Linked DNA regions of Styela clava. The protein of the gene in region 1 purifies or fractionates together with the protein of each later gene. This does not show direct contact. Links are inferred from orthologs where the notes say so. Each region holds a gene or a part of one and is shown in the gene's direction. Other genes may lie near its edges.

What was found.
Region 2: the proteins of intraflagellar transport protein 57 homolog (region 1) and clusterin-associated protein 1-like purify together in Homo sapiens (affinity purification with mass spectrometry; 4 studies listed by BioGRID and IntAct, counting the BioPlex papers as one, with this or other methods). This does not show direct contact. The link is inferred for Styela clava from reciprocal best matches to the Homo sapiens genes IFT57 and CLUAP1.
Region 3: the proteins of intraflagellar transport protein 57 homolog (region 1) and intraflagellar transport protein 74 homolog purify together in Homo sapiens (affinity purification with mass spectrometry; 3 studies listed by BioGRID and IntAct, counting the BioPlex papers as one, with this or other methods). This does not show direct contact. The link is inferred for Styela clava from reciprocal best matches to the Homo sapiens genes IFT57 and IFT74.
Region 4: the proteins of intraflagellar transport protein 57 homolog (region 1) and intraflagellar transport protein 27 homolog purify together in Homo sapiens (co-immunoprecipitation; 3 studies listed by BioGRID and IntAct, with this or other methods). This does not show direct contact. The link is inferred for Styela clava from reciprocal best matches to the Homo sapiens genes IFT57 and IFT27.

What each region holds. Positions count from the first base shown.
Region 1 is NC_135253.1:4,226,665-4,233,859, forward strand, and holds the start of intraflagellar transport protein 57 homolog, read left to right. Parts: upstream 1-4,186; 5' UTR 4,187-4,466; coding exon 4,467-4,515; intron 4,516-6,364; coding exon 6,365-6,473; intron 6,474-6,772; coding exon 6,773-6,935; intron 6,936-7,035; coding exon 7,036-7,154; intron 7,155-7,195. UniProt on the Homo sapiens protein: Required for the formation of cilia. Plays an indirect role in sonic hedgehog signaling, cilia being required for all activity of the hedgehog pathway.
Region 2 is NC_135250.1:18,041,258-18,048,414, reverse strand, and holds clusterin-associated protein 1-like, read left to right. Parts: upstream 1-4,131; 5' UTR 4,132-4,199; coding exon 4,200-5,159; intron 5,160-5,596; coding exon 5,597-5,911; 3' UTR 5,912-6,851; downstream 6,852-7,157. UniProt on the Homo sapiens protein: Required for cilia biogenesis. Appears to function within the multiple intraflagellar transport complex B (IFT-B). Key regulator of hedgehog signaling.
Region 3 is NC_135260.1:21,842,469-21,849,664, forward strand, and holds the start of intraflagellar transport protein 74 homolog, read left to right. Parts: upstream 1-4,174; 5' UTR 4,175-4,321; coding exon 4,322-4,370; intron 4,371-5,562; coding exon 5,563-5,606; intron 5,607-5,827; coding exon 5,828-6,015; intron 6,016-7,196. UniProt on the Homo sapiens protein: Component of the intraflagellar transport (IFT) complex B: together with IFT81, forms a tubulin-binding module that specifically mediates transport of tubulin within the cilium. Binds beta-tubulin via its basic region. Required for ciliogenesis.
Region 4 is NC_135255.1:20,072,473-20,079,107, forward strand, and holds intraflagellar transport protein 27 homolog, read left to right. Parts: upstream 1-4,208; 5' UTR 4,209-4,317; coding exon 4,318-4,881; 3' UTR 4,882-6,119; downstream 6,120-6,635. UniProt on the Homo sapiens protein: Small GTPase-like component of the intraflagellar transport (IFT) complex B that promotes the exit of the BBSome complex from cilia via its interaction with ARL6. Not involved in entry of the BBSome complex into cilium. Prevents aggregation of GTP-free ARL6.

The sequences.
Region 1 (7,195 bases):
GATCATTAAAAAAAATATCAATATTGGACAAAGATTTAGCAGTTTTACACGAGCTATAAATTTATTTAAAAGATATAGATTTCCGAATATATTGGAAATATTTACAAAAGATGGCTCTTGTGGGAATTGCAGGAATACTTAGAAGGGTTCTTGAAACCTGTGGACGCGGTCCCAATTGTAAGAAAATGCACATCAGTTGAAAAATTGTGAATAACTTGAAAATAATAAGTGTTACGGTATTCACATTTATTCATTTTCATTATAATCCATTCATGCAACTTCTGTTTAATGTAAAAAATAAAATATGATTGGAGCGAATATATTGACCTTTTAGAATGCTAATACAAGTATAATGTTAAAAGGAGAATTAGAAAATTTCCTTTAGCATGAAGAAATGGGGAGAAATCGAGACAGCAATTTTGTTTTACCAATCCCGTGTATCTCCGGAAATTTGGTCCCGGTGTTGAATTCGCCGACACGCTTGACTTGGTGCTGACAGATTATTATTGCTTCGAAAATCATCGTGCGACTTCCTCCGTTTTTCTGTATTCTGACGGCGCTGTCTCACGTCAAGGTTAAGTGAGTGACTTATAAACATTCAAGTTAGTTGTGCACATGAAATATTACACGATATACTTGACTATAGAACTGATAGAATGCAGATTACAAAACAAAATAGAGGAACAATCAATTGAGTGGGAAGGCCCTAGGACCGGTTCAGCACTCGAAAGCACATTGGCAGTAAGATTTTAAATTCACTTTAAAGCTCCCATGAGTAGATGTAGTCTAGTAGAGAGCCGCTTCGTGCTACGATTGTTCAGCATAAAAAAAGAGTAAGTTGTAAATGTTCTTATAGGTACCCAGTAATGATTTGTCAAGGAATGTAAATTTTGATAAGAGATATGTGTATTTTCGGATCATAAAAAAGTTGCAGTGTGAGGATTTATGCTGTGTGATCAAAGCAGTGAACAAGAATATAAATTGACTGACTGATGGGTGATTGAAATTGTGACGTCTGTATGAAAAACATAAATTAAACACACATATTTTAACTTCAATTAATTAGTGTTTTATGATGGAGTTCTACTGATCTTGATAATTTTTTCCCAGACTCATTCTGTCATTGTATACGAAGTCACCAGCTGCATATTACAAGCTAAGAGGTGTTTTACGTTTGTCATGATAACCCATTTTGCTTGATTTCAGGCTGGTACTAATAACTTTTTTCACATAAATTGGATATCTATTATTGCTATTATCTAAACATGGCTTCAACATATATATATATATATATTTATAATTTTAGATGTGCCAAAAAGTTTTGAATTATTTTGTCGAGTGTTTTTGAATTATTGATTTGTGATCAATAGCAATAACTTTTTTGCTACTGCAAAATCCACCACATTCATTGAATGCATTAATATTTCTCCTGGAACCGTTACATTTTATTAATTCCAATTTGTTTTGTGGGGTATTCACATTTTTGTTTCAAATAATATTTTGTCAAAGTGGCTGTTATACTTATATATAAACACATACATGCTTAGATGGTAGACAAGGTTCGATCGTTGTGGGCAATTTATTCCAAAATATCGTAACTAAAATATAAGTTTTTGCAGACGTCTCGAAACTCACTTTTGAAGAATGATTTGCTGTAATCAGATGGGGTTTTGGCATGGAAACACATCTAGACGGAATTTATGAAGATATGTCTAAAAAAACATTTGAAACAGCCATGTAAACTAATAGACCAACATTTTTAACTCAATAGCTCGATAAAAATGTCTGTTAAATATTAAGCACAGGTATAGCACAAAGAATTGTTTTGGGTATTAATTCATTTGTATTATTCTATCTCCTATTGAGCAATTAAATACTTGTATCATGATTATTATTTCTGAAATTACCAACAGTATTCATGTCATTAATAACAGATGAACTGGGGAAATTTTTCTTTGTAGGTTTTTTCCTGCATCTGTTGCTAGGATTTCGGAGATGTCTGAATTTGAAGCAACGCCAAGTTTTGCAAATAGCAAAATATGCATTAGATCAGCTTAAATTTCATTAATTATTTTACACACTGAAAGTCTACAACAGGTGATTATCTCAAGGATTTTTTAACAAAATAAATGCTATACAGCTACATGCAACACATTCTGTAGTCATATTTAAAAAACAACAACATTTCATTGCTTCTCCAGCGTATGAAGGGCTCCAAATACTGGTACCTTCAACATGTGATATACCACATTGGACCAAACATCTGTCAGACCCCCTTTTAAGTGTAAGATAAAAGTCTTCTAAATCAGTGGTTCTCAACCGCCGGTCCGCGGCAACCTTGCTGCCGGTTCGCCAAATATTTTTTAACATTAATATATTATAAGCAAATTGCAAAAATATTTCCTAAAACAAAGATCTTCAAAATAAGGACAAATTCTAAAAATAAGGACGTTGTGGCAGCCCTGATTATAGGTCAAGTGGAGAAAAAACTACTGTGAAAGCTACAATACTTGAGATGGAGTGAGACCAAAATGCTGTGCTACCAAGCGTTTTTTTTATATAAAGTGCAAAGTATTCATTTTCGTCACTACTTTACCTACATCTGACTGACATTTTTTGCAATGCATCGCATTTTTGATGCCTTGCTTTCTTTCGACAAGGAAGTTGTCACATCATCCTGGTCATTTGCAAGACAGACTTTGTCTTCATTTTCACAATTATTTATTCATTTTTATCAAATTTCTTCGTCCTTCAGCAAATATTTCGATCAGTCATCAATGAACAGGGTAGTTTTTTTATGCAGGAGCGTCGTCGTCGTTAAGCATCTTGTCTGAACAAAACCAACCGTGACGCCCGCCACTTGGAGGTGCAACATCGCCTTTGTTTGTTTATTATAGGGCGAGCGGAGTTGGACATCTAGTAGTAGTATATATTTACGGTTTTACATAAGGACTTGAATTCACTGATGACTATGGTGAAATCTACATGGCGAATACAACAGTGGAACACTATGGATTGTTTGGAAATATTAGGTGAAACATTGGATAACTGAAATTGCCGTTGATGCATATTCTTGTTGGACACGTCAGTGTACATAACGATCGTTTCAATATTATGTTGTTGTTCTTGTTTTTCTTTCGTCGTGATAAAATCGCTTTTTTCTTCGAATACTGGACCTATTGCTTTGAAATTTTCAGTGATTAAAGATTGATTTTTTTCGCCAGAAGGCTATTACTTTTACTTATTTCAAAAATTTCTGTGGACTTCAAGAGATTCGTTTTTTATGCGTCAGAATAAAGAAATAGCGACACCTTTTGACGGGTCCATATATTTGAGCATAGCTCTCTTGTTTTTGTATGTAATTATGTGTGATGTTTATTTATCATTATTGTCTTTATTTTTTTTAATAAACGATTGAATCCTTAATCAGAAAAATAAAAAAATGAATGAATAACCAATCCGAATCTTGGGTCTCCTGATCTGATGAACCATAGTACAACAACTAAACTGTGATAATAGCGCGCAAAGAAAATGTGAGGGGCATGGAGGACGCTTGATTATATTTCAGTTATGTGACCACGTCCAAATTGATTGAACCATGATTTATTATAATATTGATGGTAAAATGTACTGTGACAATAACTGTAGAAAGAAGTTTTAGTTTTGGCAGGTTGTATGCATGGTTAGGCCTACCATACGTCCCGCTTTAGGCGGGACGGTCTCGCTTTTCAGCGTTTTGTCCCGCCGTCCCGACAGGTCAGCCAAAAGTCCCGCTTTTGCGTCCAGCATGTTACACGAACATGTTCTTGTTACCGTTGTTGCTGTGTAGCGAGGCGCTAGCCTACTTACTGAAGGTGAATGCGTTTGTTTCCCGCTGATTCCCATTGGTAGCAGACGTATCGCATGTAAAACCAATACTAATTACTTAGTCCAAATTCGAATTATTTGGACAGCGAATATGCGCATGAAATTTCGATAACAATATGTTCAATAAAGCCAGCCGGGACAGCTTTGAAAGTAGGAATGTTTAGGCCTATGTAGTAAAATCGAAAAATGTAAAGTTACAAAATCACAGCTAGGGGGTCATTGTTTTTTGAGGCGTCCCGATTTGAAGTCACAAAAATATGGTAACCCTATGCATGATAAGGCGCTCAAATCTTTTCTCGGTTACGCCGAAATGTCCATTTAATATATAAAATTGACTGTCAATACTTTTACTGTCAATTAGTTAAATATTTTGAATTGAAATGGTGATTTTGAACTTGAATGAATTCTGAGGTTGAAGGTCAGAAAAACATTCACGGGCCATCTAACCGCTACATTTAGCATCAAAACTAACTAAGTGCCAAGTTTTTTCTGTCCAATACGGCTGCCAGAACGAAGTGGGCTTCTCGTACATTTCCTCGTCTTCGGTGATCAAATACCTCTCATATTCAAGGGCTGTTTGGGTACACTGTGGCAGTATAATGACGGATGACGTTAGAAGAGGCGGAGAAGATGAAGACCGTGGCCCAGGTACGGTACGGTACCGGTATGATTTGTGTGTTGTTTTCACTTGTCAGCTTGTCGTAGGTATGTTAAAAAAAATTTGAAGTCAATCGGATTTACCGTATTTCTCGGCGAATGAGTCTACCCGGTCAATAAGACGAGGACCGTTTTTAAGACTAAAAAAATGGGTTTTTACATATACCGGTACCGGTAACCTGCCAATAAGTCGGGGTTGTAAAATCGCATCAACATCGGAATCTCAAATTACCATGCAATGCCCTTTGAGCGGTCACCGCGTTTGCGCATTGGTTAAAATAGCCTACCGGTATAACGACGTTTTCTTGTAGCGTAATATTCAATCCATAATAACTACGGGAATTTAAACTCTTTAAATTTTCATCTAATTGTGTTCAACTCACGATTTTTTCCACCATAAAAGAACATTCCCTAATACATAATAAGGCGACACCAAACAAATTAAAATTATTATACTCGCCTAATAAGACGACCCCCCCCCCAAATCTGGCCGAAAATTTGGGTCTAGAAAAGCAACTTATTTGCCGAAAAATTCGGTAAATAATAACTGCGTCAGTGGATGGATCTAAGTCAAAATAAGAAAACAATACCAAGTTTGCGAAAAACGGTCAAGAATTAACGGAGATATCGGCATTTTAGTACCGCCCGATAGGCCAATTTTTCTCCATAAGGTTAGCATTACGCTGGCTCAAAAACTGTGACCGCAAGAATGTGAGACCGATAAATAACAATTTCTATCTTCGCTATTTTGGAAGGTAATCAAATGAAATTTGGAACGAAAAGATAACGTGAAAATATAAACCAAATAAAACAACTTTACAAATTCTTTTCAATGAAATAACAGTCTTTTTTAATTAATTATGTACAAGAAAATGTCTTAATTTCTCGAAGTCAATAAACTGATTTAAAGCTTCCATATCTGACTGTATTCACTGAACAATTTAAAATCTACCTGCACGTAAGATATTTACTGTGTTTACGAAAACTCAGAACGAGAAAATTCAGCGCCCGAGATGATGTCGACAATTCGGTCGATAACTATCTGCGAGTTGACAGACTCACGCTAAGATAGTATTAAACGTGTCTTGAAATATTTCGTAGCGTTTTCGAAAAACGCTTGCAAATTCTGTTTTTTTTAGAGAATTTTATTTATTGTGGAAAACATTCTATATTAATCTCTAATCTCTCGATATGCGTCACATCTATGAAATATCAAGGCTCTTTCATAATTTAATTCTGGCAACGGTCAATGAGGCCATCGGCGGATTGTCGCAAATTCAAAGTCGGAGGTGGGTATGTTAAATGAACAGTGGTTCGTTCCGGCTAATAATTAACGATGTTCGGATCGAGCAAACTTCACAAAAATTGGCAAGTTTCAAGTTAAGAAAGAGACACGCGTGTCATTATAGATTTTATAGGTGTCATTAGACGGGATCATTAATTTGTAGCACGTTTAAGTTGGAAGGTATTTTTAAAAGATTCGCATGATAGGAAATATTTGCGCTAATGGAAAAATTCAAAAACAAGGTCATAGTCGTGTTTTTTATCTAATTTATGTCAAAATTTCATGGAAACACTAACTATCGCTGGCAATCCGTAGCCGTTTTTATATGCGGTACTCAAGTATGGCGGTAACGGTACCTAGCAGAAGTGATGCGTACATTTTTTATTGCGAAAATGTGCGTTTTGTAACATTCCTACTTGTCGGTCTGTAGATGTGGGTAGTACGGTAACTTTACTTTATTAGTCATGTTGGGTATAAATTTTTGGTTAAGGGTCCATGTACAAAATCCTGAATTTGAATAATCTCGATTTTATCTAATTACATTCCAATTAACAGGTGCTTCATATCAAGTATTTGAAGTGATGTCAGATTTGCTGGATAAGCTGAAATTGTTAAATTTTGAGGAAAATTTCATGAGGCCAAACAACATGAAACCTCTAACAAGGTATTATCAGCTATGAAATGGGTGGGGACTTTCAGAAAATCTTTGGTCAATACTCAAAGGGTTTTTTGACGGTGAAAATAAAAGATTGTGATAATTGTAATCTCGTATTGCAATTTATAAAGTGGGTCAAAAATTTCAGTTTGTAATTTCGCTTCACACATACTTTTGTATAATATTTACAATGATGCTAACAGCAGTCACAAAAATGATTGTACATTTGCTGTTCGAACCATATTTCAGTTTTTGAATACAAGCCATCTGTCTCTTTTTATTTATGACATCTTTTGGTTTGCTCACAGACATTATTTTGCGGTCCCTACAAATCCTGGTGAACAGTTTCATGCATTCACTTCAATTTCTGCCTGGCTTCTTAACATCATTGGTCGTCCATTTGACATGCCACAAGAATTTGATGATCCCAATGCTACTATATCAAGTATATTGGAAGAAGTAAAACGAATGGTATGTATAACAATTTTTTAAATCATAATTAAACATTTTCAATCGTGGAGAGACTAAATATTGTATTTGTGATTTTTTATTCTTTCTTGAAAATTTTCAGGGAGTCGCGATTGATTTTCCACCATCCAAGTTGAAGCAAGGATGTGGAGAATATGTTTGTTATATCCTTGATCGTTTGACTGAAGAAGCATTGAGGTCAAGTAATTTCCAGTGGGGAAGGTAAATATTGTCATCTAGATAATTTCCATTTATTCAGGTGT
Region 2 (7,157 bases), on another chromosome or scaffold:
AAACGCCGATAACGATATCTGAAAAAAGCCGATATACCGATAACGATACTATTTAATTATTACCTCAAGTGCGTAATCTTTGTCTTAGCCTAGTTACGCTGACATAACGGCGTTTTTTACATTTCTACATGAGCGAAATACGGATCTTTTGTACAAAGCCTTCGTCAATGGGGGATAATTTATATTATGTTTATAATTTCTGTATCCGGAGGCTGGGTGAAATACGGATCTCTTGCCACTAATGCAAAAATGTGAAATTTTAATAAAACACGTTGTGAAATACCAAATTTATTTATCCAGTTGCGCATTCGGAATAATTTGAGAATTTGAAGTTCCGGTGCATACTGCATTCCTAGCGATCACCCTAAAACCGTAACTGGATTATTTATATTTTTTAGCGGAGGCGGTGGTGTTTTTATGATGGAGGCTTTGTACAAAATATCTCGAAATACTCTTTAGAAGCATTATTAACTAGAATTTTTCATAAAGGTAGATTCGGTAAGACTTTGAATTTGAAATAGGTTTAAGGGCGCTGTCGGAGTTATCAGAAGAGTGGGGGTGTAAATCCGAAGAATTTCCATGAAACTGTCGCCGAAATCAGGCAAGCCACTTGTGAAAAAAGCCCATTTTTTTGATGGATGATTTTCTGATATGTTGTCGGGTGATGATTTTGCAGTTGCGCAAAGTATTCAATTGGCGACTAATCCGAGTCTATTTATAATGTCTTGCTTTATTATTTAATTGTCTTTTTAATGTAACCTGCGGTTGCGTCAACAAAATAAGAACATTACTACGTAAATCACGGAAATCCACGGTCATAAAAAGTGTTCCAAACTGCCCGACTATATTTAGTTTTGATTCGTACTTTTTCGATGTTATTAATTCTACAAATTTGTTCTTGCAATACCGACTCCGCTTTATTGCACCGATACCACCCAAGATTATTTTCAAGACATCAGCGTTATAAAAATCTTTAGGTCTGCGATTTTAGGGTGAAATATGCGATTTTCGGTAGCCATTTATGGCAAATTTGAAACATACTTTAACGATTATTTTTCTAGAGCAACATTTTATTGATGTAATGCAAAAAAGATCAAAATTTGAAAAAATTCTAATTTGGGGAACATATAATAAAGTAGCAAAAACCATTTTTGGGCGAAATATGCGATTTTCGGTAGTCATTTACGGCAAGTTTGAAACATACTTTAACGATTATTTTTCTAGAGCAAGACTTTATTGATGTAATGCAAAAAATATCGAAATTTAAAAAAATTCCAATTTGGGGAACATATAATAAATTAGCAAAAACCATTTTTAAGGTGAAATATGCGATTTTCGGTAGTCGTTTACGACAAGTTTGAAACATACTTTAACGATTATTTTTCTAGAGCAAGACTTTATTAATGTAATGCGAAAAATACATAGATTTTAAAAAATTCAAATTTGGGGAACATATAATAAATTAGCAAAAACTATTTTTGAGGTGAAATATGCGATTTTCGGTAGTCATTTACGGCAAGTTTGAAACATACTTTAACGATTATTTTTCTAGAGCAAGACTTTATTGATGTAATGCAAAAAATATCGAAATTTAAAAAAATTCCAATTTGGGGAACATATAATAAATTAGCAAAAACCATTTTTAAGGTGAAATATGCGATTTTCGGTAGTCATTTACGACAAGTTTGAAACATACTTTAACGATTATTTTTCTCGAGCAAGACTTTATTAATGTAATGCAAAAAATATCAAAATTTAAAAAAATCCCAATTTGGGAAACATATAATAAATTACCAAAAACTATTTTTAAGGTGAAATATGTGATTTTCGGTAGTCATTTACGGCAAGTTTGAAACATACTTTAACTATTATTTTTTTAGAGCAATATTTTATTGATGTAACGCAAAAAAGATCAAAATTTGAAAAAATTCTAATTTGGGGAACATATAATAAATTAGCAAAAACCTTTTTAGGGTGAAATATGCGATTTCCGGTAGTCATTTACGGCAAGTTTGAAACATACTTTAACGATTATTTTTTTAGAACAAGACTTTATTGATGTAATGCAAAAAATATCGAAATTCAAAAAAATTCCAATTTGGGGAACATATAATAAATTAGCAAAAACCATTTTTAAGGTGAAATATGCGATTTTCGGTAGTCATTTACGACAAGTTTGAAACATACTTTAACAATTATTTTTCTCGAGCAAGACTTTATCGTTGTAATGCGAAAAATATCATAATTTAAAAGAATTCCGATTTGGGGAAAATATAATAAATTAGCAAAAACCATTTTTAGAGTGAAATATGCAATTTTCGGTAGTCATTTACGGCAAGTTTGAAAAATACTTTAACGAATATTTTTCTAGAGCAAGTATTTATCGTTGTAATGCAAAAAATATCAAAATTTAAAAAAATTCCAATATGGGGAACATATAATAAATAAACGAAATCAAAGTTGGACAGAAATCCGGCAAATAATACCGTTGAATGCATAGTGTTTTTGTTTTCCGAAGTAAGATTCTGAAATAAATAAAAAAAAAATGGGACACGTGGGAACATATAAAAAATTAAATTCCGATCAGGAACGTTAGTTTGTATAATAAATAAACCAAACTCCCATCTCGATGATCTCATGACATCCGCTCTTCATATGACATCGTGCCACGTTAGTGACAGAATTAGGTTTACGATTTATCTTCTTGCAGAATTGGATGCTGGGAATTGGCGGCCAGGGTAACCCAGGTGGTGAAATTCCTATCTTGGATTTAATAGACGACGTCGCTAGAGCCCGCATTTCTGCATGTAGAGTAATGACGATCTTTGGATGATAACGACTTTTATTTCTCTGCGCTTAGTTACGGTATCATAAGATCGAAATAAAATTGTATTATATGTCAGTATGTCCATAATCCATACAGTCCAAAGGCAGTAGGAACTTCAAGTCAATTAGGTGGACCCTACTAAAAAGGTACGGTAGGTATCACAGGTATCATAGGTATCACTCCATAAAAAGATAGGTATCAGTAATAAATGACTAAAAAGGTAGGTATCAGTAGTAGATGACTAAAAAGGTAGGTATCAGTAGTAAATAACTAAAAAGGTACCGGTAGGTATCAGTAGTAGATGACTAAAAAAGGGGGCTCCCGAAGTATGCGAACCGAGATGGCGGACATCGGAATGTAATATGTGTACTAGGTTAGGGTTAGGCCATAATTTTAGGTATAAATACTACGGGAGGCCCTTGGCTAGTCTTCGAACTGATAATAGGACTAAAATAAGGAAAATTGGAAAAAAATTATCGCCTAACCCTAACCTGTTACTGATACCTACCTTTTTAGTCATTTACTACTGATACCTACCTTTTTAGTCATTTACTACTGATACCTACCTTTTTAGTTATTTACTACTGATACCTACCTTTTAGTCATCTACTACTGATACCTACCTTTTTAGTCATCTACTACTGATACCTACCTTTTTAGTGAGTGATACCTATGATACCTACCTTTTTAGTGAGTGATACCTATGATACCTACCTTTTTAGTAGGGCCCAGTTAGGTAGCCTAGACATCTCACATCGGTACTGGTACCGTACATCTGCACATCAGTAGACTACATACAGGCATACGGCTGTACAGTAACTTACCGTACTATACTGATCTACAAATAAATACAGGTAGAGGGAGATAAATGATTATCATATTATAGAATCCTGGAATCAGGATCAGAGGATGTCAAACAAAACCTCCACGCATCCATCAGTCTGTCAGTCCATGCTGTCTCGAACACATGACAGTACCGTACCGTACGGTATAACTCGCTTACACATGACTGCATGATGAGGAGAGTCAGCATATAGTTCATAGTCTATATGCCTAAAGTTTCTCTGTTCTGTGCCACTTGTTGTGATATTTTACAGTTATAGGACGACTTGCAGACTTGGGTAATTTTCTTTATGTATCTTTGGAGGTGTAAGCAACCTGTTTTGGAGTTTACAGTGAGAATGCTTCAGATATTTTTTATCTATCACACCTGCCTCCTTCATCCTTTATCCAGTGAGCATAAGATGGTAACTTCATTTCCAATTTGTCTTGATTTATCTTAACTTTGTTTTTATATGACACAATGTTAAATTGTTTTTGCAGTGTAAATCATAATCTAGAACTTTTTAGGAAAGGTGCAAACATCAGAAATATGTCTTATCGTGATCTACGAAACTTCACTGAAATGATGAGGGCTCTTGGATACCCAAGAATGATTTCAATCGAAAATTTTAGAACGCCAAATTTCCCTCTAGTAGCCGAAATCTTACTATGGCTTGTACAAAGGTATGATCCAAATGTTACTCTACCCACAGACACTGATACTGAACAAGACAGAGTTATATTCATCAAATCTTCCTCACAATTTGTTGCTACGAAAGCTCATATTAAACTGAACACAAAAAGGCTTTACATGGCTGATGGGTATGCTGTGAAAGAACTTGTAAAGATAGCTAGCGTTTTATACAGTGCAATGAAATCGACACATTCATCTGATGGAAAAGAAAACGATTCTGGAGACGCATCATCTCTGTCTTTCGACATTGATTCAAAAATACAAGACTTAAAAGCTGTACGAAAACTCTCAACGGAAATTACTGAAAGAGGTGCTCTTTTGTATGACCTTTTGGGCAAAGAAATTGACTTGCGAGAAGCCAGATTGACAGCTTTAGCTCAGCCTTTGGAAATAAATGAAATTGAAAAAGGGCTGCGTATTAGTATTCAATCGGTTGAGAAAGAAGTACAAAAAACATTACACATGCTTGACAATATTGCTTCTGATGAAGTTAACCTAGAAGCCAAGATTGCAAAACGAAAAACCGAACTTGAAAGATCGCAAAAGAGACTTAAAACACTGGAAAGTGTGCGACCTGCATTTATGGATGAGTTCGAGCAACTAGAAGAAGATCTCAAAATACAATATGAATCTTACTTATATAAATTCCGGAATATGACTCATCTTGAACAGCAGTTGGAAGACTTGAAGGGACAAGAACAAATGAGAATGGAAGAAACTGAATCAACAATGAAAAAAATGCAAGATCGTTTGAGAGAAGAAGAAAAAAGAACAATCTTGAGCACAGTTGCAATGGATCAAATGGAGCAAGATATGGTATGTATGAAGTTTCGGATCAGATGTATATGATTTGTGATATGTAATTCTAAAAGAAAACAGCAACAAAAATGTTGGTGGTGTACTGGGTGAAATGTTATATAGAGTTAAAGACTGTTAACATAATATCTAGTTATTAATAAATACACTAATCAATTCAATAATACACAATATTCATATTGTGTACTAGAAATGTATATATACATAATTTCAACATCCCTAGTGGGTTTTAACACAAAGGAAAACTAATTTGCAAGCTGAATTCCATTTGGCATTTTGATCTTCTAATTTAACAGCATTTATAAAGAAAAACTTGATGCTCAAACTGTACAGTAGTCTGTTTTAGCCATTTATTCAACATGGAAATTTCTAAACAAGTTTGTTCAATTCAGTATCAATAGACATGTTTTGTTCTAACAATGTATTCAATATCTTAGGATGAGGGAGGAAGCGATTTGGAGGATAGTATGGAAGGAGAACGTCCAGCATACCATCAAACAAGCCGACCAAGCAGACCACCTGCTGGTGTGGGTCCAAGAAATAATATGTATGGTGATGAAGGGAGTGATGATGACGATGATGAAGAAACCTTGTCAAGCAGCAATCTGAGTGTTGTCGATGATAATGAGGATCTTACAGGAGACGATAGTGATGACTTCCTTGATGACATGGCAGGAGAAAGAGCGATTGGTGCAGGTGGCGACCCAAGACGTCATCATGATGTTATTGATGATGACGATGGGGAATTTTAAGCCTCCCACTACAATTCTTTCACGTACTCTTATCAGCATTGAATGCTTGATCTACTTTCGTAAAGAGAAAAAAAACAGAAGTGTATTAATCAACCTTTTTGTCATGATTTTTTTTGGAAATTTTTAGATTGTCACTTATATCAAACTCTGCTAGTTTCACTCAGTGGTAATATTTGTTCCATGTATATATATATATATTACACTGGTGAAGTGCTCAATATATGGTCTTTCGAATAACTTTTGTTTAAACTCTCTATGTCTGATGTAGTTGTGTAATTTTGTGTTGTAATTTTTTTACGTAACAGTAATAGGAAAAAAACTCATTGTCAAGAAATTCCCACCATTTTTGCACAATACCGGAATCTCTATTTAAAAGTCTTTATAGCTTTATTTGGACACAAGTGCACTCAGTACCTATGCTTCGTTTTTAATAATTGTCGCTGTTGGGGTTTTTAGGGCTGTTGCTGTTGTGAAAAAATAGCTATTATCTGCAACTAATGGACCAATCTGGTTCAGTTTTAAAAGATAGTACTTCTATAGTTTTTTTGTTCAATTATCTTTTGAATTGTAAGAAGACTCACTATGTATCCGAAATTTTTATAATTTTATAATTCATGGGCACGACGCTTTAATGTGATAATTAGTACAGCTTTAACGTTTGATCGCTCAAATTTAGCTGGCATTAGCCATGTTATGATATGACATGTAAATTTATTATTAAAGCATTGCTCTCCTGAATTTAAAAAGCAGAAGATAATTATGACAATTATGTAGTTAAAAGTGGCCAAAAGTATTAGTTGTGTAACTTGTGTACCTTAGTCATGTAATGAGCATTTCATTATAATATTCAATAATACTGTGTTGAGTGTTTGTTATATTTTGTATAATTAAATTAGTTTATACTGTTGCACGTATTGAAATGAAACTATTTTTGTAAATATTTCTCTTGTCTCTTGATTGTTATAAGGCAGGGGCAAACTGCGGTCCGCTGGCCAAATGTGGTTAACTTTGATGTTTGAGGTTCAAAAATGTCTGGGAAATGGAGGGAAGTTAGCGACGAGGGTCGAACATTCCAAAGTGCTACGGAAAAATATTTTTCTTTCCAGCGCTTTCCAAAACCAGTTTTTTTGATATGCCCAGTCAGCATCGTAGTTAAGGGATCCAGTGTTAAGCTCGTTACTAAACGTGTCATCGAAAATCCAAGTCTGAGACCCGAGACTGCGCCACAGGTCATCTGTGCGATAGA
Region 3 (7,196 bases), on another chromosome or scaffold:
ATATTCATGTTGAAGATAAGTGAAGCACAACCGGTGTATAGCAAAACATCGGCAAATAAAATCGTTTTGCTATACACCGGTTGTGCTTCACTTATTTTCGACATAACTAATCCCATACCCGACATGAACTGGTAACAGGACGAGAGGCCGTGGTTCGCCATATCATTAAGCCCAGGGGCGGATTATGTCCCTTTGGTGCCCTAAGCACTGAAGACTTTGGTGCCCTCTTATGTGTATTTTAAATTATAAAAACAATAAACTACATAAGTGTATCATCCATCAAAAATTATTACAACCAACAGTAAATAAAACAACTTTTACGAATATTTTTTAGGTTTTTTTTTAACTGGTATACATAACCGATATATATATATATATATCGGCCGTTTACTGCCGATATATTAGCCTATATCTGCAAACACGCAATATCAGACCGGTATAACGGTTAAGCTCTAATCCTGAAGAAGTTCGACGATGAAGATTCATGCGTCCAATCTTATCGTGAATCGAAATACCAAAGGATACAAAACAAGTCACAACTGTAGTTTGAAATTTTACCGGTACTTAGTAGTCTACCTCAGGGTGGTCCAATATAGCGAGAAGGACCACAAAAACCTTTTAGAAGGTCACGCGGGCCGCAGTCGAAAAAAACAACAAAAGTGACCGAAATATCGCGACTTTACTTACTTTAAATTCAATGAACAATTAGAGTTTACCGTTCGATTCAGCCTATTATTATGTTGCATGGGTTGCGTTCTTTTAAAGAAGATATATATAAAGCCTTCAGTTATTTCGAAATTAATTACCGAGAATTATCGTTGTATTTTCCGCATCTCGCGTTTGGGTTTATAATGACGCTTCAAATTATATTCGTTCGTGACAGATGTTACTTACCAGAAGCTGTGGTTTACCGTTGTGGTGGGCAAGAATACATTTTCTCCTTGTTTTCTTTATGTCACCTTTCTTTTGACACTCATTATATTACGAATTATTATGACGCTTCAAATTATATTCGTTCGTGACAGATGTTACTTACCAGAAGCTGTGGTTTACCGTTGTGGTGGGCAAGAATACATTTTCTCCTTGTTTTCTTTATGTCGCCTTTCTTTTGACACTCATTATATTACGAATTATTATTTTTGAGTAATTTAAAAATTTGCAGCGTGAGCAGGCTTAACGCTATTGTCAAATAACAACCAAGTTCGACAAATTGGTATTTCGGGACCTAGCCCAAGATAACCTGGATTACGCGGCGTTGAGACAGAGATGGCCCTTATTTTAAAACAGAGGAGTGTTTTTCCTAAAATAAAGGCACAAAATCTCTCTCCGAATAAGGAGTTACCCGACGCGAGTTGAGATGAGAAGTGCGACCCATCTCATCGGTTTGGTCCTGTCTGCACAAGGCAATTCATTCTCATTGTACCGATCACAGCTCACAGGACGCCATTCTCATATTGGCATCGTCTTGACGTTTATAAATACAGCATTGAAATTCCGTGACCTCGACAAGCATAATTCCCGACATTGTGATTAGGAAACGAGTTTGAATCTAGGGATCCCACCCCAGTTGGAATAACTAAAAAAAAAAAGTTCAGGATTTGTCAAGTCATGACAGGGTTTGGACCATTCTGGTCTACCTTATCGAAAGACTCCCGACATCGCTGACCACTAGATCGTTGAAATGCGATCACGGAACCACCATACCGTGCAAATAGTCCATTGGTCCAATAGTTTAAAAGAGAAGAAATTTATTTAAACAAAAATGCATCAACAAGGTGAATACTAGGGGGAAAAACAACAAAAATTTTTAATAAAGAAGGTTAATATGATACTTGAAGACGAGAAATGAGCGAAAATTTTGAAGTCTGAGTTGTCTGCTAAACTTCTCTTACCCCTCTTTGCTTGGTGCCCCAAGCACGTGCTTATATTGTTCAATGGGTAATCCAGCGCTGATTAAGTCGTCTCATCGACTTCCCTCTCCCCTGCGATAAATATGTAAATCCTATCCTACTTTTTGCATTTTGCTGATTGGCCAATGTCACAAAGTAAACAAGGAAGCCGATACTGGGGGACACATCCATAGATCACCAAAATCTGAAAGCTGTAACATACTGTAGCGAGACTTTATTTTTGTGTCAAAGGTCGAGGAAACCGCTGGAAATAGTGCGTAAAGTATTGTACTGCAAGCCTATCACTAAAAATGTATTCGGCTGCTCCGTCTGTCCGTGAGGAATTTTGAATAGAATAGGGGTTTACATTTTAATCCTGACGCAGAGGAAAGTATATCAGGCGGCTTGATCATATGACGAACCACTGCCTCTCGTCTGGTTTCCATTCTGGGTAAGTAGTTAGCCAGGTAATATTTGAAGTTGATACCGTACCGGTACCGTACGGTATTACTGTAATACCAGTCATAAGCAGATGAATTAACTTGAAAAAAAATTCTCTTTACACTGCTACATGCATTTTTTAAATGGTAATAAGGTGGTGTAGCCAGTCTGTTGACGATTTCATTCAAATCGCTAAAACGAATATTTCTAATCCTGTACCGGTAATCCGTTAATTTTTTCACCGTAGGTGCATTGGCATTTATTCTACACGCTAAACCTCGAATTACGACACTCTGAAAACACATTTGCGACCGAACGACCAGTGTGCGACCACGAGTTTCGAGCCTTGAACATCGTTTCTACTGCGTCGAGACTAGAGCATACACAGCCATGCGTGAAAAAATTGGGCTTCTAATTGTATTTCTGACAGTCATATATTTCAAGAACATGGTTATTTCGAACAAAACTCATCAAATTAATAAACAAAGCACCGCATCCCAGCAATCAAACAGACAAAAACACGGTGGTCGCAAATTGGTCGGCAAAGATATTGGAAATGTGCAACCCCTATTCTCCCTCCTTTAAATGTAGAAACGCGAAACTTTAAAGATGGTTAATAAAAAAACACAACTCTACCCACCTGCCAAGTTCCATCTTTTTATCTCTCATATCTGTATGGATTTTCAATTATTTTTTAAAGAGACAATGGGTAGTTGGCGACATAAAACATGATTGAAAAAAAAATGGTCTGTTTTTTTCTTCGGTCGGGTTTTCGGTCGTAACTTTTTTGTTTGTGGCCGCATTTTAGTGTAATTTCGCAGAGCTACGGGGGATAAGTGGATGATAACGTGTGAGAAATATCGTCGCAGTTTGTTAATTTTTTCGGCATTAATTTATAGACTGTTACGGTATAGTCTAATCTTTATGGTGAAAAATCTGGATGATGAATTCTTCCATGAATAGCCTATATAGTCTAACATTAACAATTAATGTAATGATCGTAAAACTTGTCAATAACTTTATAACATTTAAGTTATATTCTTTCTTCATTAAAAAAAGACATACCTGCAGGTCCTGCATACAGACATAAGATGAGCAATGTCAGAATGTTGTCAGTTGCCAAGTCCAGAAGTGAATGCAAATTTCATGGTTAAGGTTTGATGTGGTATTAGTCATAGTCTATCTTGTTCAGTTTTTTTAGTATGTCCAACTGTTAAACTGCTAATACTTTAAATATTTAAGAAGCGCAATCAAAATACAGGATTTTTAAAATGGCGGCTGTTAATTCAGTAATTTATCTGAATGAAAATATAGTCTAATGTGTTTTTGTTTAGTTACTTTAGAACAATTTAGCAAGGAAAGCGAGATAGAGGTGTATTGTATTTCATTCACTCTGCCACTTATCCACCAGCTAAGGCAATATTGAAATGTTTATTATGACTTTTATTTCACCCATTCAACTATATTATGTCCTGAAATTGTACCTACATGATGTGCTTTAAAAAAATAAGCTACGTCTGTACGTTCATAAATGGCATTCAACGTGTGCTATTAGTCCGAAAGTCAGGACTTTAGTATACAGTAGGCTACTTTCTGAAATAAAGTGATGAATTGTTTGCATTTGAACAACAAATTTATGGTCTAGCATTTCGAGCTGTTTTTGATTGAACTACTATGTTTAGATGAACTGAAGTCTTTAGCCTTCGCAATTCGATTTGATCCAAAGGATTCTACCTCGTTTTTCAAACATGGTTAACATTAATCCAGTAAGCTAAGACTTCACATCCATGCTCTGGTTCTACAGTTGTATCAATTTCAGCTAGACTGCCATATTTCACAGTGTTTACCTTTTGTATATTTAGTGTGTTGTTATTTATTTAAATATCTAAAGTCTCTAGCCAAAACAACATAAGAATACTGCCGCTTAAGTAGAGATATTGTTTGACATTACTATCTTTGTCAGTGAGGAAGTCATTCTTGAATATTGCACAATGGCTGGGAGGCCACCAAGCTCAATGCGAGGAAGGCCGCCATCAAGTGGTGAGTTTCAAACATTTCTTGTGTCGCTGCAACATCTTTTCTGTTTTTATATTACCTTATATAAGGGCTATTCCAAGTGACTCTACAGGACAATTCCAGAAATTTTGCATGTTGTTAGATTGTAGCATTGCCAGCTACATGTTTTGTATTATTGTCCAATCAATTGCTCTATGGGGTTTGAACATACCTGCACGAAAGTACACACAAGACTTACTTAATGGATATAAAATATATGTTAAAATATAGGGTGACTCTACAGGACAGCAAATCCACCATGCATTAACATTTCGTTATGTTGTGTTGTAATCGTCAATGAGATTGTGAAATAAACTAAAAAGAAACGTAACCTAAAATCACCACACTCACTTGGAAAGAAAATATCCGATCTATCGAATGAAAAAAAAAATGAAGTGTTTGAGATTAATGGGCAGAAAACGACAGAAACGAGTTCCGATGAATGATGTTACTGAATTTCAATCAACACATGCTGACGAACGTCTGGCCTCCATAGACGCATCAACTTTGCTTACTCACACATACTAGATTAAACTAAATTATTTTGGCCCGCTGCCTGCAGGTTGCACAACCCCTGTTCTAGAATATATCCGCTAATTCGAAATCAGAGAAATGTGCCGTACTGTAAAATGGTATTGAATATGCTTAAATATGCATTATTTACAACAATCTCATTGATTTTTTAAATATTGCAATTTGCAAACAATAGTTTTCTTGCTCAAGCGATTTGAATGATTTGACTAACAAACGATTTGATTAATTGCCATCAGTTATAATTAAAATATTAATATATGTGCAGTGCTGTGGGGTCGGAACTCTGTCATTTAAAAAACAACTTTCGACTCCAGGTTGGCGGAAAAGAATGCAATTTTGTCTCAGGGTCCAACTTCAAACTCCATTCTTTAATTATCTGTTAGGGTCAACTCAATGCTTTATTCGAAAATTTTAACTTGAATATCGCCAATAAAAAAATAGAATTACAGTAAGTTTCGAAACTTCCACTTCAGAATCTGGAGAGGAGATTCTGGCTCTGGCACGGACTCCAATATCAATCAAAATATGCCAATCTCTTGCCTTCATGGCCTTGTACATATCCATCATTAATATTTTGATTTTTTTTATACATCCCTATCAAATAAATTATCGATATATATGTTTTACTTATTGTTTTATGCAGGTATGGGAGCAAGACCACCGATGGGAGGTAGAATAGGCACAGGAGTGAGTAGTACCTTTTGATGTTTTTTGCTGCTTTTTCATTTTCCTCTTCTTTATGTAGACTTCCTAATCGATTAATAACCATGCAGAAAGTGAGCTTGTTGTGAATCAAACGACTAACAGTAATTACTCCTTCACATAATTCTTAATTGGGAATGAACTCGCAAACTATCTGCAAGCCTGTTGACAAGTCAAGTTAATGTCATGTACTGTGTACATTTCAGCAAGTTCCTGGTACTGGTCGCCCTGGTACAAGGGGAGGGCAACCGGGCATGACATCCACTGTTTTACCTGCTGGAATTAGAGTAGCGGATCGACCAATGACACAGCAAGGTCTCGGTGGAATGAAAACAGCAAGTAAAGGCCCCCAACGACAGATACAAGACAGAACTTATTGGCTTGGAGAAATACGGTAGGGTATTATTAAGTATAATGAGTTATATTTGAATCATTGTTGATTTTTTCGCAACAGTAGATCGTAAGATCGTAATCAGTATCAGTTTTCAATCTTGGAGGGAGCACAATTGCTAACGCTGATCACTTCGGATATCTACCGCTAATGCCAAGCATGAGCTGTTTATATTTAATCAATTTTTGAAAGAAAGTCAATTGTGTGCCGAACCAGTTGTGGCAGCTTTGGACAATAATTGGTGACCATCTATTCTTTATATCTCGACCATGTCTGATCGCTAGCGATGAGAAAGACTTAATTTGGTTCCTTAACTGGTATCGAGTGTGTTTGTTTGCAAAGTTGTTAATATTCTATTCTCTTAAGTCTTGATTTTACTCTTTATGTACTGCTTATATTTGCAGTTTTTTGAACCAATTCATTTGGTGATTTTTTCCATTACTGCCTTAACTACTGTAATTATATTATCCTGTTTTGTATTTCAATATCACAGTGCATGAATTTCAATTACCGTATTTCCCGGCGAATAAGTCTACCCAGTAAGTAAGATGAGGCCCGTTTTTAAGCCTGAAACAATGTTTTTTTGCCTATAACCTCCCAATAAGACGGTCAGTAAAATCACATCAGAATCGGAATCTCAAATTACCATGCAAGATAACCCATAATGACTTTTTCTTGTAGCGTAATATTCAATCCATGACATCTATGGGAATTTTAACTGTCTTGCTAATTCTTTATCTCTAATTAACGACAATAAATATACATATAAAGTGTACGGTATATATGAAACATACATACATAATCATCACCTCGAAATCTCCACGAAACGAAATGTGTTAATTGATTTATTTGTGATCAATTTAATCTGCGATTGTGACAATATAAATAGTATCACTCCAAAATACCAACACAAACCGTGCACATAAACATGTTCGATTATATGTTGTTTTGATTCGTATTTTTACAAATTGAACAACTTAAATGAGCTCTTGCTGCAACAATTATTCCGCTTCATCGCAAAGCTGCCACTCATTATTTTGAGGAAATCGACGTAAGAAAAATTCTACCGGTAAATTAAAATCAGTTAAATGCATTCCAAAAAATGAATTAAATTACTTCACATTAATCACGGTATTATAAATATATCATAGTCGCGTCAGGCCCTGTCGGTAATTGTAAAATAC
Region 4 (6,635 bases), on another chromosome or scaffold:
GCAGATAAATTAAATATATTTGTTAGTTAAACTGTTTCACTAAAATCTCATTCTAAACTTTTTTTAAATTTTTTTAAAAGGCCCGGCTCACCTTAACCCGGATTGTTATGATTATTAAATTATATAATTCTTGTCATAACTCAATGATAATGGGTTGTATTGTTTTTAATATCATTTATGAACGGGACTTAGTAATTAAAGCACGGTTGAACGTTAGTTTTACCTACAACTTTGAAATCATCACGCACTAATATGATGCGCAATACCCACTCAAACATGTTTTTCAGTTGACTCAACCGTTTGACGTCTTGTCGTTCCTATATAGGTTATAGGTTAGTAGACTACGTTGGATATTCTAGAACCCCATTTTTATAAAACATTGGTTGAATGCGAGGTGTATCTCAGTATTATTGCCATTGACCAACCTAAAAAATCCGGTTGAAAAATTTGAATACTGGCGATCTTCATAATTGTTTTCATGCCAAGGTTTTATTAATATTTAGAATTATTCTCAAACCACAGTATATAATTTATTTTGTCCCAATTCTACCGCGCCATTGAATGGTAATTTAAATAAAATATGATCACGCGTCAACTGACATAACGACACCCACTTAATTGCTTACTTATTTTTTCTGACGAAGTTGACTCAATTTTTTCGCGTATTTTGAATAGGTAATGAGTTCATAGTTCAGTAGACTACCTAAAAAATTTAATTTGATTTCAAAACATAAACAGAATGAAATAACGGAACAACCGAAAATAATATCTTTTTTACAATTTGGTTACACAATTCCCGCTAAGGAGGGTGATCTTAAACTAGGTTCCGATTGGGTTTTACACTATTCAGCAATATATACCGTGTAAAACGCGGATAATCATATGAGTATAATTTTATTCCAACTCCGTAATCAGTATAATAGCATAAACAACGCGTTTGATATCAAAGTTCAGTGAATGATTATTTTTCGTGCTTGCAGCGAGCCATTTTCTTCCGGATATGAGTTTATGACTCCAAACCTTTTTAAACGACTCGGTAGTTTTGTGATTGACAGCCGCATTCCTAAACGTGAATGCGTTGCTAGACTATTTTTTGTTTCGAAGCTGGAGGTTTTAGGAATTTCAAAATAGGACTTTCATATTTATGAGGAAAAAGCCGATAACATGGCTCATTGTATACCGTACCTAACCACGGCCTTTCTCGCCAGGTTACCGGTCCATGTCGGATAACTGAACAGTTCATACTGTCATACTATTCATAGGCATAGCGCATAGGGTGTCACAGCTAGATAGGATAGGATTTAAATATTTATCCCGGGGGAGAGGAAAGCCGATAAGCGAACCACGGCCTCTCGTCCGGTTACCAGTCCAGGTCGGGTATGTGATTAGTTAGCCAGCTATTTGTTTTCGGAAGCATGGACTTGATGGCGGGGGAACCGGTAACCGACCATCGGTTACATCATACATGAACCACCCTACGGTGGCGAGGAGTCCAGCAATCCTCTCGCACATGATCATCCCTGCATGGGATGCGAACCCACGCAGAGTAATTTGAGGTGCTGTGGTGAGCGTATTCCTAACGCTCCAGACTGGATTCCATGGCAGGTGCACGCCCGAGGGCGCTAGCGCTCCGCAAAAATGCACGCGAGCGAAATCAATTTTGCACGCCGAAAATTTGCAATTGCTCACCAATGTAAATCGGTTTAAATGGTTTTAAAATCAATAATCCAGTAATATAAAGATGCCAAAATATTATACCTCCACGATTGTCGACAAATACCAGCTTGCAAGATTTGGTCTGATCGAAATATTGCGAAGCAAAAAGACCATGGACCTTTCCCCAACCTTTGACCCGCGAAAAATTCCTCTCATTGTTACGTCCTTTTTTGCATCTTGCTGATTGGCCAATGTCACAAAGTAAACAAGGAAGTCGATGCTCGGGGAAAGGTCCATATCGTGTTGAATGATAGGAAATAGGAATCCCGTGAGAATAGTTATGGACGAAAAGATCGCCTCCGCACCAATGGCCAAGTACGGCTCTGATCATACAATAATTTTACACGAATGTACTGAACAGTACCGGTATCTAAAGTTGCTCAAACACTCCCAAAATTAGTGACAAAGTATGAAAATAATGTTTGGGGTCAAAGGTCAAACGTCCATTTTTGCTCTAATTTTCATCCATTAATTCTACGTAAAAACACTACCAAAATTAATGACAAAGTATGTCCATTTTGCTCTGGTTCAACGTATTTTTTATCCAATAATTTTACGCGGATGTACTGAACAGTACCGGTATCCAAAGTCGCACAAACACTCTCAAAATTAGCGACAAACTGTAGAAATAATGTTTGGGGTCAAAGGTCAAACGTCCATTTTTTCTCTGATTCAACGTAATTTTTATCCGATACCGGTAATTTTACGCGGATGTATTGAGAGGTATCTGATGTCAAAGTCAGTTGCACGCGAGTGCAGTTGTTTTGCACGTCGTGAGCTATAATTGCACGCCAGGAATTCTTATTTGCACGCGGGAATTTCTGATTGCACGCCCGATTTCTCGTTCAAAAAGGCCATGAAATCCAGACTGGCTAACGCTTAGCCCGTTGAGCCACACCGCCGCGCCATACTGAGACCAGACGCCCCTTGTTTGTGAGACACATTGAGTGTTTGTTTAATTGAACCAAATGGAGGGAAATTCTTGGAATTTGGATAGTGTGCCATACTAAACTACTAGTGGGCGTAGCATACAATTTTATTTCGATCTTTCGTCTACAACACAGAACGCACACAAAAAAATTGCTCAGACAATGACGACGGGGAGTTGGGCAAAACTTAGAGAAAGGTTTATAGCAAACGTTGTAACCAGTGTTTGTGCCCATTCACCCACACTCACAAAACTGGAAAAACACATCACGACAATCTATAACTGAAAAAATGAATAAATTTATAAACAGCATACATGAACACAAGAAAGTAATATTTACGGGCTACTTACTTCTACAGTTGTATATAATTTTGGTGTGTAAAAGTGGTGAAAATTGCGGAATAAGAAGAGTGAGATTTACGGTGTGTGCCGGACTGCCGGTGCATGTGCCGAAATGCAAATCCTAAAAATCACATCTAAGTGATTAGTGTTAGCTACTGTTTTTTATATTCTTTGTAAACAAACAAAGCTAAAAAGTAAACAAACAAATTTAAAAACTCTAAAACTAGTTTCGGGCATTGCTTTTTGTTTAAAACTTTAAGGAAATGGTTAAATTTCACAAAGTTTTCATTTAAAAATTCATAATCTCGAGCATTTGCCTATGATGGTCAGTCATTAAATTACCTCTTTTTAACCAGTTTTACCGAATCAAAATTTCAGTATGCAGACATGTCGGCTAATATCCTTAACTAACATCTCTTTTTGTCAAACGCTTGAAAATCCAGTTGTGAATATTGTCTGATCTTCGATAACTTTTATTTCTTTATGATTACCGTAAGCTTCTTTTAAGGATATCACATTCCCAGATAAGTCTGTAGACGTCGCCCTTACACGTAGCTCCGATATGAATTCCATTCTTTTTTTATCAAGAACATTGAATAAAATCTTTTCCTGTGTCCATTCCATATACCAGGTTTCCTTCTAAATAATATTGCCGGTACCACATAGATTTGCGATCAGAGTTCCAGATCAAAGAGTATCCCATCGTTCAACACGTCCGCACCCCACGGTGGTCAGATCCGAATGGACATGTCAGTTCTTACCGGTCACCCCTACCTGACTAAGCCATTCAAACAGCTATTTCTCTCGTTTTCTTCTTGCAACGATCCCGATAGGAGAGAGATCACAGACGTTAGTCAGTTCTTTATCGTCGGCATCAATGCCATTCCGGGCGATCGTGCATGAAATTGACAAGCTCTATGACGTGATTGTTATGTCTTAGTGACATAATTTTTGGATGGCATAGTCAGGTGGGGGTTGTGTCAAAAAAATTTTATGCTACGCTACGTCATGCATCTGAAATATATAACTGTAAGTAAGCATAATTAGTATAATTTATTCATCACCATGTGAAAATTAAAGATACATTCACAAACAGAAGCAAAGCATTGTTAGGTATACCAGTAATGTAATTTAATTGCCTTATTATCGTCACATACTAATTCTCTCCACATACCTACTGCATTGACCCACACAGTCTTTCAAATGCACAGCACTGAAATATTTTTCATTTGCATTATTACAATAGTATTTTAATTAATATTGTGTAATATAGTTAGTGTCTAATAATATCAAACCTATTGGTGATTGAAAATTTCCACGGAAAAAATAAAATGGGAGTTCTACGAGCAAAATGTGTCATTGTTGGTGACTGTACTGTCGGGAAAAGTGCGATTACACAAGTTTTTCACAGCGATGGGACGATGTTTCCAAAAAACTACACGATGACTACGGGAGTCGAGGTTTGTCAAAAAGTCATTCCTGTTCGAGAACGTGGTGATTTTGTCGATATTTTTATGTTCGATTCAGCTGGAAAAGATGTTTTTTCTGAAATCTGTGAAAAACATTGGGACGATATTGGAATGCTTGCTGTTGTTTTTGATGTTACGGACATCGAGTCGCTTAACCGTGTGAAAAACTGGCGGAATAAAATGAAAGAACATATCAACCCGGAAAAAAATATTCCGAGCGTTCTCATCGGTAACAAAGTGGATTTGGACCTAAGGCGGCAGGTGACAACAGAGGAAGGTGAAGAACTTGCCGAACAATTGGGAATGACGTACTTTGAAGTTTCTGCAAAAGGCAATGAAGGAATTGAAGCACCTTTTCAATATCTTGCTCAAAAGTTTGCAGACCATCATCAAGACTCTCGAGAAAATGTACAAATGCTAGAATAACTGTTTATATCTATTACTTGTAAATAGTACTAATAGTGTCAACTTTGATACGAAACGTTCAATGAACCGGAACTAGACAGCACTAGCTCCATTCTCATTCAGACTATTTTATTCTGACCGTTTATGACAAAAAATAAGCTCTTACTGTTATGGTTCTTTGTTTTATTATTTTCTGGGTTAGAATTAACAAAGCATACCTGCCTAAAGGAATACTGGTATTGTTGATAAAGCGCATAATAATATAGTACTATATTCGTAATAATATGAAGTCGAGTTGGACTAAACTGAAAAATACATTCATTTTGGTAAAATTCTTTCCCCGAAATAAAATTGGATTAGTTGGAGTTGTCTATAAATGTCAACTCTCAATTTATTATATTGCATTATAGAATTTAGGAATAATTTTGAAAAGTTTAAGTTATAAAATATGCTTGACCAAAATACCCTCATTTCAATGTTTGAAAAACTGTAAAAAAGAAGAGATGGTCAAACTATTATTCATCATAACTCTCCTGCATTCCCAAATCAAACTGTAACTTCAATAAGTTCTCTGTAGGACATGACCCTTCTCAGTATATAATTTTACTTTCATATTTGTATTAATCATTTATGCAGCTTAGGTGGATAATTGGCTACATCTGGCTGTTTTTTACATGTACAAATTCATATTTGAAGGTTCTAATTTTGTTTTCGTCTTTTCTAAATAATTTGTGGATTTTTATGGAATCTTTGTATTGTTTTGTGTTAGAATATTAGGTGCTATACTGTTGTCCCACCACTAAATTTCTATTTTTCTCAAATTCTGTTTATCTTAGGTTAGGTTAATATAAGTTAGAAATTGTGGGGATGAAATTCGGCTCTCTCTGGCCAGTGCTGGGTTATTGCCCTGACTCGAGTTGGATTAGAGTCACTGTTCATAAAAGTGACTCAAGACGTATAATTGATATGTCTTGGGCTCGATTTTCTGTCAGTGGGCTGAGTTATTGACCCAACTTCAGACTTGAATGACTGACTGATGACTTGTAACTCGAGTATAAGTAGTTAATGAGAAAAGCCATTTTTCCGAAACAACTAGAAAAATACTAACAACAACATAATAACAGATCAGAAACTTAGTGGTGGGACAAAAATACTAGTACGGTACCGGTACTTTATTTTTATGTAGTGCTGTATTTTGGTAAATTTATTATTGTGTGAATTTCACTGTATAATTTTTTATGTATATTTTTAGATAAAAGATTTATAATAGTGTAGTAATAGCTAAAATTTTGCCATTCAAGTCTAAGACATCAAAACTGGATTAAACATAATATAGGATAAATACCCAATGGGCAGACCTACACCAACAGCTGAGTAGCGGGGGAAATGCTGGAATTCCTGGGATAAATATTTCAAATGTTTGGAAGACAATTCGTCTGCAGGAAATAAGGAATCCATTTGCTCAAATTCATATAAAGAGTTTGTTGCAGATTGCCTTCCTGTTTGGGTAAGAGTTTTGGCGCTGCAGAAGTGTGTGTTCCAATATTGCGGTAACTACCGTGATTTTGTTCGCCTACTTTGCCTCAAGTTGTGTAAAGAGACTGAAACCTATAGGGGGTTTATTCACTTGTCTAACACAGATAGTACCCGAACTCGTAATAGAACTAAAATAAGGAAAATCTGAACAAAATTATGGCCGAACCCAAACCTGGTACACATACTTCGGGAGTACCAGAGTGTCACTGTTTGATTTTCCTTTGAATTTTTACAATTAA